Sus scrofa: one gene and its partner. The protein of the gene in region 2 interacts with the protein of the main gene of each other region in a pairwise test. Links are inferred from orthologs where the notes say so. Each region holds a gene or a part of one and is shown on either strand. Other genes may lie near its edges. The genes, in order: ATOX1 and FAM118A.

Region 1 (8,365 bases), on a different chromosome or scaffold from region 2:
ATCACAGGGGAACTTGGGGACCACTCAGCTCTGCAGGCAGCTGCCTCCGTTGGCTCTGTGTGCCCTGGGACTCTCCATTTTTTAATCCACTGGGGAGAGACAGAGGGGTGAGCCCACACACCTGAGAAAAACTGGTCTAAATGGCTTCTCAGGCTCTTTCCAAGTCTCAAAACATCCTTGGAAAATCCCTGGATCCGGATTTTCATCATGCTCTACAAGGGAAACTGAGGCCAAGAGTTAGGCAGTTGGGTTTTCCTGCACTGAATTACACACAGCCGTCGTTACATAACAAGGAGACTGCTATTTCACTGGGGCCAAATCTGCGAAACCTGCCGTAAAGAAAATGGTTTTTTCTGTTCGTCTAGTTTGAACGCCTCTGATTCCTTCCGCTCGTTTTGTGACTATTCAACAAATTTTGAAAATAAGGATTTCAGGTGAGAATTCCAAAATCTTGTCTTTAACACACGGTCTTCAGACCGACAGTAACAGCATCGCGCGGGAGCTTGTCATTAACACAGACGCTCAGGTCGCACTCCAAGCCTCCTGAATCAGAATCCTCTTTTTTTTTTTCTTTTTAGGGCCACACCTACAGCATATGGAAGTTCCAAGGATAGGGGTCTAATCAGAGCTACAGCTGCCAGCCCCAGCCGCAGCCACAGCAACACCAGATCCGAGCCACATCTGTGACCTACACCGCAGCTCACAGCAACACAGGATCCTTATCCCACTGAGTGAGGCCAGGGATCCAACCCACATCCTCATGGATACTGGTTGGGTTCTTAACCCACTGAGCCATGATGGGAACTCCAGAATCCTCATTTTTAACAGGACACACAGCTCATTCCTGCCCACACTATAGTTTGAGATGCTGCTGTGGAATACAAAGGGGGAAACTACAGCTTGCCTGCAACCTGGTTTTATAGTTTCGTGGGAACAGAGCTAAGCGTACTCCTTTACTGTCATGCCAGAAGGACAGAGTTGCAGGGTCGTAACAGACCATGTGGATCACGAAGCCTTAGGTATTTACTATCTGGCCCTTGAAGAAAAAGTCTGCTGTCCTTGCTCTAGAATGATGGTCCGCAAGATTTGTTAATGGCTTGCACCTGTATACCCAGCCAAAGCTGTAATGGGTTTGCAAGACCAACATAAAACCCAAATCTATTGAGCGACCCCTTTACGAAATGCTCTTTATATAGTAACCAAGTCAGTCCTTGCCCAACCAGGTAAGGGAGCTAGTCACCCTACTGCACTTAGGAGAAAACCGAGGTTCCAGGGGTTAGCTAAGCTGCCCAGTCACGGGGTGGATATGTGCTGAGGCTGGGATGTGAACCCAGGCTTTCCCCGCTCCAGGACATCTTGCTGGTTCTGGACCCGCAAACAGCAGTGCCATCCCCCACAACCGATTCTCTAAGCAGGAGCCCTGAGTGGGGGGCACCTTGTGAAGGAGCACACGTTTTTGCTGCCCAAGGAGCCAAAGTCAACGGATCTCTGAAGCTCTCTGCAGCTGGCTACAGAGAGCAGGTCTCCTTTCATCCTGCCTAGGACAGAGGTCAGTGACAGGGGATGGGTTACCGCCAATATAATTCAATGCTCTCCTCCTCCTCCACCTCTGAGCTACCAAAGGAAACGGGGGCAGCGGAAAGTCTAAACGAGCAGCGTGATCCTTCCTTTACAGAGAATCCCAAGACTGGCCCCACCACGGAGTGCTTGACTTTGCAGAGTCCCAGCCCCTCAGAGCCTCCACTCTGTCACCTATAAAACAGGTCCTATAAAGTCAATGAAAGAGATTCTTAAAGTGAATCTCAGAATGGGAAGGACAGGAATGGAATGGGGTCACATTGTCTCGCCATCACCACCTGTCCTCTCCGCCTCAAGGAAAATCTTTCTCAAATATTTGGGAATTTAGTCTTTGAACACTATGATGTCTGGGAATTTACTAATAGTAATATTAGAGGAGTTCCCATCATGGCTCAAATCCAACTAGTGTCCATGAGGATGCGGGTTCAATTCCTGGTCTCACTCAGTGGGTTAAGGATCCGGTGTAGCCGTGAGCTATGGTGTAGGTCGCAGATGCAGCTTGGATCCTGCATTGCTGTGGCTGTGACAGAGGCCGGCAGCTGCAGCTCCGACTGGACCCCTAGTCAGGGAACTTTCATGTGTCGCAGGTTCAGCCCGAAAAATACACACACACACACACACACATATATATATATTAGAGTGCCTACCATGTGGGTCAGCCATTGTCCATGCATTACCTTGTTTAATCATCAAAACAAACCCTTGAGGTAAATATTATCCTTTCTTGACATGACATTAGGGTATTCACTCAAGGTGATAAAGCTACTAAGTAGCAGGGGCTAGTCTGGATACAGTATCCAAAGCCTAAACTCTTATCATGTGGTCCTTGTTAAAATGGAGTTGAAACCTGCCTGCCTGTAGTCCCACCTGACTCATTCCAGGTCTGCACAAAAGCTGCCATTTCTTGGGGACTAACTATGTCAGTAGCTAGGCTATGTATTTTACTGGCATTTTCCCAGTTAATACTAAAAACAGCTCTGTGAGGTCAGTTTTTTTAATCCCCATTTTACAGATGAGGGAATCAAGGCACAGAGAAGGAAGGTAGCTTGCCCAAGGTCACCGAGTCAGCGAACAGGAACCCAGATTTTCCAGAGGTTTCTGAGATCTCAAGTGTTTGTCAGAGAAACCTCTCAGGTGACACACTCTTCCCCTTGCAGTTTTGGTGACAGTCCCTTGACTAATAATCCTTCCTTCAGCTGTCCCTCTCGTGACTGTGGTGACAAGTACCCTCTTCACTCTCATCACCCACTCTGGAGGGTCTTTGGCTTGTCAGAATCCCCAGAAGTGAACAGAGAGCACTGACCCTCAAGCTGGCCTTTCCCTCTCTCCCGTCCCCCACAAAAACCTGGTAGCCTTCACTATTCTAGTCCCAGGGTGATTAATGCCATCCTCTGTCACTGCTGCAGGCAGATTTGTTCAACTGGGAGGGCTAATTCTGTCAGGTTCTTTGTCCAGACTTTGTGTTGTCTGAGGATTTGTCTCAAGGCACCTGGCGAGACCCAAAGGAAATGACACCTGAGATGTTTGTGGCGTGGCCCAGGGGGCCTCTGGCTCACCTGTCAGCTCCCCAAAGCTAGGCTGCTAAGACACAGAGCATCTGTGGGACACCTCTGGGTACCCACTTGGAGCAGAGCCATAAACTAGGAACCCTGGGGGATGTCATGTGCTAAACACATGACTCTAGCCAGGATCTCCAGGTTGCAACTAGGATCAGTGCTTCCTCCCAAGCCGGTATGACTACTTTTGTTGGGCACTTGGCTTGTGGTCAGGCCAGGAGAGACTGCGAGACAGTAGATAAAGGGCTTTATCCTGGCTGCACTCAACTCCCAACACCACCTTGAATAAACCATTGGGCTTTAATTTGCTTAATCTGGAAAAGGCCTTAATTTTTCATCTACAAAATGAGGCCATGAGCAACCGAGTATACTCGCTAAGACGGAGTGAGCTGCAAAGGCGGGCTACGACCTGCGCATTCGGCCCCAAACGCTGCCACTGAGCAAGTGATCAATTGTGGGGCGGTCCCTGAACCTCTCTGGAGTTCATGAGTTCAGATTCATGAACCGACCAGGAGCAAAGGTTAAAAGCACTGTCTCCATTCGGTGTCGCCTGGCGCTGACCTGAAAGAGTGGGCAGGGGGAAGGGAAGAGAAACACGGATCTCTGAACGCCTTCCCTGTCCCAAGGTCCAGAGCCATCCCCGAGGGAACGGGCATCCAGGCCCCGCCCAGTTCCGGTTCCGGATCACCCTGCGGGACCTCCGTCGACGCTGCCCGTCTCTGGGCCTCAGTTTCCCCTTTTATACAAGGAAGGTTTGGATTGGTACTCGCTTGGAGCCCTTGCAGCTTCGGTGTTCTGACACCTGACTCCTAGATAAAAATCCCTTGGGATTCGATTTTCTTGGAGGGTCGCAGAAGCAAAAGCTGGGGCCTGGGCGGGGAGGGGATGAGAAGAGGGGCGACAGCTCCGGCCGCAGCCAGAGCCCTTGAAGAGCGACCTGTGGCCAAGCCGCAGTGCAGACGAGGCGCAAGCGGTGGGCCGCGGGTCTGCGCGGGGCGAAGGCGGCGTGACCACTTACCGGCATGACTGAGGACGTGGTGGCCGTGGCGACGCCTCCCGCGGCTCTGAGCGCTGGCGCGGCTGCGCTTCCGGGTGCGCGCGCCCCGCAGAAGCCGCTCTTTGGTCCCGGCCCCGCCCCCTCCGGCCGGGCCTCCGGCTAAGCCACGCCCCCCCGGCCTCGCGGGCGGGCAGCGGCCTGGAGGCTGTTGTCCTCTCCGCCTCTTTCCGGCCGGGATGGAGCCCCTGGCCACTTGCCACGTCTGTGCTAGGCGGTGGGAGGGACCTCGGCTAGCCTGCCCCGCATGCGGACCGTGGTTAGACCGCCTACCCTTTGTCAGGCATGTATTAGGGGCTGGAAACTCCCCCCACCACCCCCGCAAAGGAACCACCTCATTTGTTCACCCGTTCAGTATTTATTGCCAGCCCTGGGCTGGCCCTGTGCGAGGCATCCAAGATGCAGGTATGGAAAGATACAGCTTAGTAGGGAGCCAGGGAAGCAGGAGATGACGATGCAAGATAAAGCAGTGTTAAAGGAAGGAGCCGTGTCTCAGTGCGAGCGGAGAAAAGACCTCTAACTCGGACTGGAGGGTGAAGGCGGTTCGTGAAGTGAGGAGGCTTCCAGAGGCGGAAATCTTCGTCCATCTGTAGAAGGAAGAAGAGTTATTTGGGGAGGAAGGAGGCAGAGGAAACGGCATAGGGCATAGCTTGGAGGAGGCAGACTGAGAAGCAACTATTGAGAGAGATGGAGAAATGACACGGCAAAGACATGAGACCCATAGCCATGGGTAAAGACAGACAGAGGCGGAGATGCTCTAAGACACAGAAGGTGTGTCAAGCCCCAGGTCTTGATACACACGCACGCACACACACACACACACACACACACACACACACACGAGTACCAGGCTGTTTCTGTCCTTAAAATATCCAAGGAGCCTACGTCTATGTTAGCAGTTTCAAAGATCTGTCATTGGAGTTCCGTTGTGGCCCAGCGGGTTAAGAACGGTCCCCTGTGACGCAGTGAGTTTGATCCCTGTCCTCTCTCGGTGGGTTAAGGATCCAGCGTTGCTGCAAGCCACTGCATAGGCGGAAGACGTGGCTGGGATCTGGCATTGCTGTGGCTGTGGTATAGACCAGCAGCTGCCGCTCCAATTCGACCCTTAGTGTGGGAATATCTGTAGGTTGCAGGTGCTGCTGTTAAAAAGAAAAACAAAAGCAACAAAAAAACAAATTCGTGTATTTTTGTTCCTCTCCTCCTCCTTGTTTAGGAAACCACTGGTTAAGGAAAACTATACTCTAATACACAAAACCTTTTTGAGAAAGTGTGCTGGCTACTGTGTCTTAGTTCCAATTCATCATTTTTGCCTGCTTGTGAAAATCTGGACCCTTTGAAGATTACTTTTGCTTTGCCAAATGGCAGGATGTTAAGCTTTGCCAGTAAAGGCTCTGGAGAGACACTGGAGGAGGAAAGGTTTTCCTTTTTTTCTTTTTTTTTTTAGAGTTTTGTAACATTTTTATTTTTTGGTCTACACCCACAGCATTGTGGAACTTCCTGGGCCAGGGATTGAACCCTCACTACAGCAGTGACCTGGGCCACTGCAGTGACAATACCAGATCCTTAACCCACTGTGCCACAAGGGAACTCCTGTAACATTTATTTTTTTTAATTTTTTATTTAAAAATTTTTTTCAATGAATTAAGGTTTTCCTTTCTTACTCCAGTGTGCTCAGTCTCCAGGCTCTTGGAGTATCTGTGACTGGCCTCTGCCTAGCTTCTGAGGATGGCTTCTCCAGCACCTGGTTCCTGCTGTGGAAAAGGACCAGCAGTACATGATAGGCAGCAGTTCCTCCAGTACCTGTCCTGCTTACGTGCTTTCATAGCAGAGGAGTAACTCCAATAAGATGATTCTCTGTGAACAGCTTTCTCCAGCATCCTAGAGGGCAGTTTTCCAGCCTAGTGGGTGACCTTCTAGCAAGTTCCACCACCATGGCATCATAGACACTCTGTCCAGTAAGCCACAAGGCTTGGATCGCAGCCTGGATGTGTGGAAGCAGGATTCTTCCTGAGCACCCCATTTCATTATTTTAGCCCTATGGGCAGTAGCTGTGCCTCATATCTGCTACTCCTATATTCTTTAATAAGATTCTTTTTTCTTCTTACTAGCCAATCCTTCATTACTAGAGTCTCATTATAATCTTTAAAGTTTTCTTTCCTTTTTTTTTTTCGGTCTTTTTGCCTTTTCTAGGGCCTCTTCCCATGGCATATGGAGTTTCCCAGGCTAGGGGTCTAATTGGAGCTGTAGCCACCGGCCTCCACCACAGCCACAGCAACACAAGATCCGAGCCATGTCTGCGACCTACACCACAGCTCACGGCAATGACAGATCCTTAACCCACTGAGTGAGGCCAGGGATCGAACCTGCAACCTCATGGTTCCTAGTCGGATTCGTTAACCACTGCGCCATGACAGGAGCTCCATAATCTTTAAAGTTTTCTTGTTCAAATGGTAGAGTAGTTTCTCTCTCCTGACTGGCCTCGGACTCAGGGACTGACAAGATGCCTATTTCAGTTTAGGGAAGAGGATAACGGTTCTACCCTTGGTCTAAGTTCAAGGAAAACAAAAGAGAAGGGATAAGTCTAAACCAGGACCAGTCGCTGGCTCACACTGGCCCTTGATGACTAGGCCCATCGGCATGGTGAGCGGGAGGGGCATATGGAGATTAGAGACCAGCCTAGTCTGCTAGGGCCCCTCCTAAAAAATACCACAGACTGGGTCGCTTGAGCAACAGAAAGTTATTGCTCATAGTTCTAGAAGATGGAAAGTCCAAGATCAGGATGGTGGCTGGTTCGATTTCTGATGAGAGCTCTCCTCCCAGCTTGCAGACAGCTCCCTTCTTGCTGTGTCCCCACAGGGGAAAGCCAGCTAGCTCTGGTATCTTCCTCGTCTTATACGGGCACCGGCTCTATCATATTAGGGCCCTGCTGTGTTAACTTTTATCACCTCCTCACAGGCCCTACCTCCAAACGCAGTCACATTAAGAGGTTAGGGCATCAATTATGAATTTTTTTTTTCTTTTTACCTCCACATCTGTGGCATATGGAAGTTCCCAGGCTAGGGGTCAAATTGGAGCTACAGCTGCTGGCCACAGCAACACCAGTTCCGAGGTGCATCTGTGACCTTCGTCACAGCTTGTGGCAATGCCAGAGCCTTAACCCACAGAGTTCAGGGATCAAACCTGCATCCTCACAGAGACAATGTCAGGTCCTTAATCTGCTGAGCCACATTGGGAACTCCCAGCTATGGATTTTGGGGGAATGAATACATTTTAGTCCATAACAGAGCCATGGAGACCAGAGTTTGAATCTTAGCCCCATCATTTGCCAGCTGTGAAACCTTGGACTGATTACTTTACCTCTCTAAGTCTTAATATCACTCACAAAAGGGGATAGTCAGGGTAACTGTATAGTTTTTTATCTGAACTTTAGAGGGTGAAAGAGGATGCCATTAATGATGCCAAGGCAACAGCCTTATATCATGACTGTTCCAGGGCATATGATTCCGTCAAAGAAACTTAATCTGTAGTAGTGTTTGGAGGAATAAATATAGCAATGGAGTTCCCGTTGTGGCTCTGCGGTAACAAACCTAACTAGTATCCATGAGGACTCGGGTTTGATCCTTGGCCTCGCTCAGTGGGTTAAGGATCTGGCTTTGCAGGGAGCTGTGGTAGAGATTGTAGATGTGGCTTGGATCTGGCATTGCTGTGGATGTGGCGTGGGCCTGCAGCTACAGCTCCACGTCAAACCCCTCGCCTGGGAGCCTCCATATGCTGAGGGTGCGGCCCTAAAAAGACATAAATACATAAATAAATAAATAACTGACTGAGTGACTGACAATTTCCTAGAATCTTGCTTGGCATAGGGTAAGCATCAAAAAATATTAGAATTCTTTGGAGTTCCCATCATGGCTCAGTAGTCAATGAAACTGACTATTATCCATGAGGATGCGGATTTGATCCCTGGCCTCACTCTGGGTTAAGGATCTGATGTTGCCGTGAGCTGTGGTGTGGGTTGCAGACGCTGCTTGGCTCCCTCATTGCTGTGGCTGTAGTGTAGGCTAGTGGCTACAGCTCTGATTCGACTCCTAGCCTGGAAACCTCCGTATGCCACAGGTCTGGCTCTAAAAAGACAAAAAAGGAGTTCCCGTCATGGCTCAGTGGTTAACGAATCCGACTA
Region 2 (7,594 bases):
AAAAAAAAAAAAAAAAGAAAAAGAGAAGACATTTTACAAACTGCAATGGGGGCAGGATGGCTGAATCTGAAAGTTGGTGAGACACAGGGTGACAATATTACGAGCTTGGAAAGAGAATCTAAAGCTGGAAGGTAAAGCAGAGCCAATTCAGGTCGAGCTTTGAGAATCGCCATGCAGGAGAATCGAAGGCCTTGCTTTAAAAGATATATTTAGTCATTTCTCTGATTTTTGTTTGTTTTCCTTTTTGCCTTTTCTAGGGCCGCTTCCCACGGCATATGGAGGTTCCCAGGCTAGGGGTCGAATCGGAGCTGTAGCCACCGGCCTACGCCAGAGCCACAGCAACGCGGGATCCGAGCTGCATCTGCAACCTACACCACAGCTCACGGCAACGCCGGATCGTTAACCCACTGAGCAAGGCTAGGGATTGAACCCGCAACCTCATAGTTCCTAGTCAGATTTGTTAACCACTGCGCCACGACGGAAACTCCTGATTTTTGTTTTTAATACAAATTTATTCCAACATGACTGATGTATTAGAAAAAGCAGTCAGCATAGCACATCCACCTGTGGCTAATCTTGTCTGTGAGAAACTGGGTCAGGGCGTGACTACAACGTGGCTTGTTTGCTGCCTCAGAGAGAACAGGTTTTACATTTTTTTTTTGCTTTTTTTTACTTTCAGGGCTGTACCCGGGGCATTCGGAGGTTCCCAGGCTAGGGGTCCAATCAGAGCTACAGCTCTCGGCCTACACCTACACCACAGGTCACAGCAACGCCGGATCCTTGACCCACTGAGTGAGGCCAGGGATTGAACCCGCCACCTCATGATTCCTAGTCGGATTCGTTTCTGCTGCGCCACTACAGGAACTCCCCAGGTTTTACATTGTTTTTTTTTTTTTTTGCCTTTTCTAGGGCTGCACCTGTGGCATATGGAGGTTCCCAGGCTAGGGGTCCAATCAGAGCTGTAGCTGCTGGCCTGCACCACAGCCACAGCAACTTGGGATCTGAGCCAAGCCTGCGACCTACACCAAGCTCACGGCAACACCGGATCCTTGACCCACTGAGCAAAGCCAGGGATCGAACCCGCAACCTCATGGTTCCTAGTCGGAGTCGTTAACCCCTGCGCCAGGACGGGAGCTCCAGGTTTTACATTCTTGAATGGTTGTGTTTCATGTGGTCATCCAGACACCTGTATGGTAACCTCTGCTGCCTCATCAAAGCCCGAAAGACTCTGGCCCGTGAAGGCGGCTGGACCTGCTCCAGGTGGAAAGCAGGAGGCTGCAGCCAGCTGCCCAGCGCCCTGGGGGGACAGGCCGCCCGCCCTCCGGCCCCCACCCGCACTGGTGCGGCAGCAAGCGTCACGGGGGCGCCCCTTTCCCAGGTCAGCTTCCGGGCGGTTTGGGGGTGAGGCGCCTGTGTCCTGTGTAGCTGTGCCTTTAACCATTTAACCCTATAAAGCCGGCTTCTTACCAGGTTCATTTTTGTTGGGAGTTGGTGCCCCCGCCCCACAGTTGCTGTCCCCCTGCGGTTTCCGCCGGGTGCCTTGGCGTAGCCAGGCGCTTTTCCGGGATGAGGGTTGCTGTGTTGGACGGAGCAGTGACCCTGCTTTGAAGGCCTCTGACGGTCCGCAGTCTCAGGGGTGAGGTCAGCGTCTGCCCCAAGCCGTGTGGCACCGAAGGGCTGGTTTGATGTCTTCCAAGGCAGAGGGAGGTCGCGCCCACCAGGACTGGAAAAAGGTACAAGCGGGCGACTTCTGGCCCTCACGCCTTCAGAGGTTGGCTGGGGGAGGGCAGGAAGCAGGTTTTTGGGTGACTTCCATCTGTTTCTTAGGCACAGAGTGTATTTTGTTTACAGGGAACAGTGTCGTTCAAAGGTGATTCCATTACTTCAGGAGGCGACTCCCTGATTGGCACTTAAATACAGCACCACTATCATTTTTTATTCCATTTTTATTTATTGATTTGTCTTTTTGCCATTTCTAGGGCTGCTCCCACGGCGTATGCAGGTCCCCAAGCCAGGGATTGAACCCGCAACCTCATGGGCTCCTAGTTGGATTCGTTAACCACTGAGCCACGGTGGGAACTCCTTTCTTTTTCCATTTTTAAATGGAAATGAAGTACTATTGAAAACACTGCACCTTTTTTTGGTCTTTTTAGGGACGCACCCGTGGAATTTGGAGGTTCCCAGGCTAGGGGTCTAACTGGGGCTGTAGCCACCGGCCTACGCCAGAGCCACAGCAACGCAGGATCCTTAACCCACTGAGCGAGGCCAGGGATCGAACCCACATCCTCATGGTTCCTAGTCGGATTCGTTAACCACTGAGCCACAACGGGAACTCCCAAAAAGCTCTGCAACTTTGGATTCAACCAACCTTGGATTGAAAATAGTTGGGAAAAAAAAAGACTCCAGGAAGTTCCAAAACCATCTAGAATTTGCCGTGTATAGGCTACTATTTACAAACATTTACGCTGTATCAGGCACTATAAACAATGCAGAGATGGTTAAAGGGAGGCTGTGGGCTGTATGCGGATTCCTACCAACGCATATAAGGAACTGGAGCATCCCTGGGCGGTGGTACAGGGGCTCCCAGAGAGAAGGGACCACTGCAGTCGAGCGGAGCAGTGGGCTGTTGCTTGGGAGAGCCTGTGTCCTTCTGTCTGTTTTTTCTTTTTATGACCACATCTACCGCATATGGAAGTTCTTAGGCCAGGGTTGAATGGGAGCTGCAGCTGCCGCCTACATCACAGCCACAGCAGCACTGGATCTGAGCTGCATCTGCAACCTCTGCCGCAGATCACAGCAACCCCGGATCCTTAACCTACCGAGGGAGGCCGGGGATTGAACCCACGTCCTCACAGACACCACGTGGGGTTCTTCCCCGCCGAGCCACAACAGGAACTCTGAAACAACTCAATTTCACCTTAAATCCTTTATTTCTAAAATTACGGAGTGCAGACGTTTGAAATTAGACTATTTTTATTGATACTTTCAGTACTGGTTTCAGTCCCTCCGAAATAATTTTCCCTAAGACACAGGTCCAATACCGTGTAACTAGCACACTTAGAAACCAAGTTTCTTCTCTTAAAGGTTTACTTAAACTGTGCAAGGCAACATCGCAGCAAAGGTGAGTGATGCCGGATTAAAAAACTTTGACTGGATTTCAAAATGGAAGTTAAAACTATGTTTTCAGAGCTAACGCACAGGAGATGCTATTTACTGGAGTGGGGCCTGAACACTTTGTAACAGAGGCAAGCATCTTTGGCGGGGGACAAGCTTTTGCTTGCTCCCAAAGTCTGTCAGGTAGATGGAACGTGGGGGTGAGAACGGAACAAGGGTTGGCCTGACCACGCAGCACTCTGCCCACCGCTACCATCGCGCTGAGGCCTAACGGGGCTCCCGCTGCCTCCTGCTGCTCTCTCTCCCCTCGGTTTCTGGATACTGAGAAAGGTCCAGGGTCAAAGCTCGGCTGAACATGCAGTCGTCTTGCTGAAACGGAGACAAGACAGTACCGTCAGTCCCTGTCATCAGATGTGAAGTCAGGGCCCTCAGTGAGTCTGGACTGAGCTTTGCAAAAGGACCCTCCTTGCAGCCAAACGTATCGCCTGTCTGCATTGACATGAGCTCTATTTCGTTTTTGGAGTTACCTGGCAAAATGTACCAGCTCTGCTACCCCAAACGGGCCTTTCACACACGGATTGTTTTAAATGAAAGGCTACTGAGAAACAGCAGACGGAGGAAAAAACTAAAAACGAAGCACAAGACTCCCTTTTGGTAAAGGAAATTCATTGACATAAAAGATGGCCACCTCTTCACTTTTTCTTTTTTTTTTTTTTAGGGTCGCACCCATGGCACATGGATGCCCCCAGGCTTGGCGTCAACTCAGAGCTACAGCTGCCGGCCTACACCACAGCCCCAGCCGTGCCGGATCCTCGACCCACTGAGTGAAGCCAGGGACGGAACCCGCATCCTCACGTTTCCTAGCTGGGCTCCTGACCGCTGGGCCACAACGGGAGCTCCAACCTCTCACTCGTGGCCAGTGCAGAGGTCAGCGGCATCTGCAGGGCAGCTCTGACTCCAGCCTGCTCCTGGCCCTCCTCCCGGAGCCCCAGGCCTCTGCCTTCCAGCCTCGCATGCTTGTCCCCGTCCAGGCCCTCGCCACCGCTGGCTTGTTCACCGCTGGGTGTGCCCTCAGGTCCCAGGCTGATGCTCTTGTTTACCTTTCCGCCTCCCGCTGGTCTAACTGACAGGGCCTGCCAGAGCCTGAGATTTTATTCCTGTCCTGCACTGCTAATGAGAATTCCCGTTTCTCTCCTGCAGCGTGTTCCAGCGATGCCGTGACAGGAGGTAGGCGCAGGGAGGGAAGTGGATTTTATCTTGGCTTCAAGGAGGACTCAGGAAGTGAAACCGAATTGTCTAAGGACTGAATGATCTGAATGAGTTGCTCTGCTCCATTAGCGCAGGTAAGTATTTTCAAGGGCTTCTAGAATGACGATGCACCTGAGAACTTGTGGTCAATTTCTTTGTTTTTTCCTCTGGTACTTTTGGAGGATAAATGGGTCCCTGTTAGTTCTACCATGTTGCATTTCTATTTGCCTAAAACATTCAGACCTTACAGAAATAGGAAATATAATACTAGCAGTCTAATTCCTGTAAGTTAATATGTACTATTATTTTACAAGCAAAACTATCATACTTACTGTTCTGCAATTTTCAACTGGCTTTTTCACTTAAAATAGATCTTACCTTTCTGTATACGGCCACAGAAAAACATCCGAGTAGTTCCTTTTAAGTCTTATTGATTAAAAAATCACCCCAGCCTATATCTGTCACTGCTGAAATCAAACAGTATCTACACTCTGTGAGGAACTTGAGATGCTGTTGCTGGGACCCCCCCGCCGCCCCGGGCTGATTTTCCTCCTCCCCTCTGCCGTGTCTTTACCTCTGGATAGATGCCTATCAGCGCATCAGCTTTGGAATAGAACTCTTCTTTCAGGGAAATAATTATCATCTGAAACTGTTCCTGAGTCTGCTCCTTGATGTAACTTGACACCTGGGAGGAACCAAAAGCGTCAACCCCGTCCCATCAGTAAGGATGCAGAAGGCACCTGGCCCTTCAGTAAGGAAAGGCGGCCTTCCTGGGGGCCCTGAGAACAGGCCCTGTCCGTCTGAGTCTGACAGGACGCCTGCCTGCCTGCCTTCCTGGTGATTCAGGCAGGGAGTCACTGCAACCGCAGAAGCGGAGATAGCTCAGATTCTAAAATAAGAGATTAGAAAACTAGAAACCTCATTAAATCTGACTGAAAACCTAAATATTTTTAAGAGAAACATCTAACCTAGACTATCATGTGAATATGCAACCAACTTCTACAACAAGATAAAACTACCACTTGGGTATTTGATGAGGGTGAAGAAGGGCTGGTATTTTAAGCTCCCAGCTTCCTCTGTTGCCAACTCAAAAGCTGAAGATGGGAGAAATATGGCAATTATATATGTATTCATTGTCCATGATCAACTCATTTGGTGAGCGGGGAATTCAGTGGCTCCTTCAGGAGCCTTAATTCCAAGGAATGGAGTAAGAACAAAACAGACTGGCTAGAAATGCGTCTTGGTGAAAATCTCTACTCAGAATCTGGAGAACGATAAAGAACTTAAGACTCAAATCACAGTTTTAACAAGATGCTTGCCGATTCCCTGGATCTCTCTGCAAGCCTAGAGTGTGCCTTCTCCGTGTATTGGCCTGACTGCAGCCAAGATACTGAGAACACTCATTCTGGAGGCAGGAATGGCCACTTCGGTTGAGGAATGAGGCCCCGGCTGAGGTGAATTTGGGCTACAGGCTGAATTCACAGGCAGAAGGAACTCCAGCACTGGAGGCACCATGGTGCCGAGTAGGTAGCCACCGCGATACAGGACTTTGAGGAAGTCCGTTTCTGTTTTGTTGGTTAGTTCAGTGTGGTAATCTCTAGGTCCATTCACGTTGATGCAAATGGCATTATTTCATTCTTTTTATGGCTGAGTAATAGTCCATTGTGTGTGTGTGTGTGTGTGTACACATATATACACCTTTATTCGTCCCTTTGTCAGTGGACATTTAGGTTGTTTCCATGTCTTGGCTACTGTAAATAGTGCTGCTGTGAGCAGCAGGGTACATGTATCTTTTCAAATTATCAGAGTTCCTGTCATGGCTCAGCAGTTAACGAATCCGACGAGCATCCATGAGGATGTAGGTTTGATCCCTGGCCTTGTGGGTTAAGGATCTCGAGTTGGCATGAGCTGTGGTGTAGGTTGCGGACACTGCTCGGATCTGGCATTGCTGTGGCTGTGGTGTAGGCCAGCAGCTATAGCTCTGATTGGACTCCTAGCCTGGGAGCCTCCATATGCCATGGATGTGGCCCTAAAAAGACCCCAAAAAAAAGTCAAATTATAATTGTCTGGGTGTACGCCCAGAAGTGGGATTACTGAATCATATGGCAACTTTATTTTTAGGTGTTTTTTTTTTTTGGTTTTGTTTTTTGATTTTTAGGGCCGCACTTGTGGCATGTGGAAGTTCCCAGGCTAGAGGTCAAATCGGAGCTACAGCTGCTGGCCTTCACCACAGCCACAGCCACGACAGATCCGAGCCACCTCTGTGACCTACACCAGCTCACAGCAACGCTGGATCCTTAACCCACTGAGTGAGACCAGGGATGGAACCTGCATCCTCATGGATACTAGTCAGGTTCTTAACCTGCTGAGCCACAACAGGAACTCCTGGGCTCTATTCTGTTCCATTGACCCCTATGTCCGTTTTGTGCCAATAACTTTCTTCCTTTCTTTTTTTAAGGAGGCACCCACGGCATATGGAGGTTCCCAGGCTAGGGGCTGAATCAGAGCTGTAGCTGCTGGCCTACATCACAACCATAGGAACGCCAGATCCTTAACCCCCTGATCGAGGCCAGGGATTGAATCCACATCCTCATGGAAACTAGTCGGGTTTGTTACCGCTGAGCTGCGGCAGTAACTCCTTGCACCAATAACTCTGAATAACTGCAGCTTTGTAGTATTGTCTGCAGTCTGGGAGGGTTCTGCCTTCTGCTTTATTCTTTTTTTCTCAGGATTGCTTTGGCAATTATGGGTCTTTTATGGTTCCACATACATTTTACGATTATTAAGTTCTGTGAAAAGTATCACGGGTAATTTGATGGGGATCACATTAAATCTGTAGTCTGGGAGTTCCCGTGGGGCGCAGTGGTGAACGACTCCGATGAGGAACAATGAGGTTGTGGATTCGATCCCTGGCCTTGCTCAGTGGGTTAAGGATCCGGCGTTGCCGGGAGCTGTGGTGTAGGTTGCAGATGTGGCTCGGATCCCACGTTGCTGTGGCTCTGGCGTAGGCCAGTGGCTACAGCTCCGATTGGACCCCTAGCCTGGGAACCTCCATATGCCGCAGGAGCGGCCCTAGAAAAGGCAAAAAGACAGAAAAAAAAAAAAAATCGTAGGTTGCTTTGGGTAGTAAAATGGCCCTTTTAACAATATTAAGTCTTCAAATTTTTTCAGATTCTTCAAATCTTCTCATTTCTTTGAACCATCTTCAATTTTCTTAATGCTTTGTAGTTCT

What was found.
Region 1: the proteins of FAM118A (region 2) and ATOX1 interact in binary tests that used the Homo sapiens proteins (3 or more experiments, as listed by UniProt). The two-hybrid records come from large-scale screens. The link is inferred for Sus scrofa from reciprocal best matches to the Homo sapiens genes FAM118A and ATOX1.

What each region holds. Positions count from the first base shown.
Region 1 is NC_010458.4:71,295,223-71,303,587, reverse strand, and holds the start of ATOX1 (copper transport protein ATOX1), read right to left. Parts: upstream 4,268-8,365; 5' UTR 4,159-4,267; coding exon 4,153-4,158; intron 1-4,152. UniProt on the Homo sapiens protein: Binds and deliver cytosolic copper to the copper ATPase proteins. May be important in cellular antioxidant defense.
Region 2 is NC_010447.5:4,062,718-4,070,311, reverse strand, and holds the end of FAM118A (protein FAM118A), read left to right. Parts: intron 1-3,163; exon of another isoform or gene 3,164-3,381; coding exon of another isoform or gene 3,382-3,483; intron 3,484-4,314; coding exon 4,315-4,421; 3' UTR 4,422-4,918; downstream 4,919-7,594. Other genes in the region: SMC1B (structural maintenance of chromosomes protein 1B), read right to left, coding at 3,382-3,483, 4,937-5,047.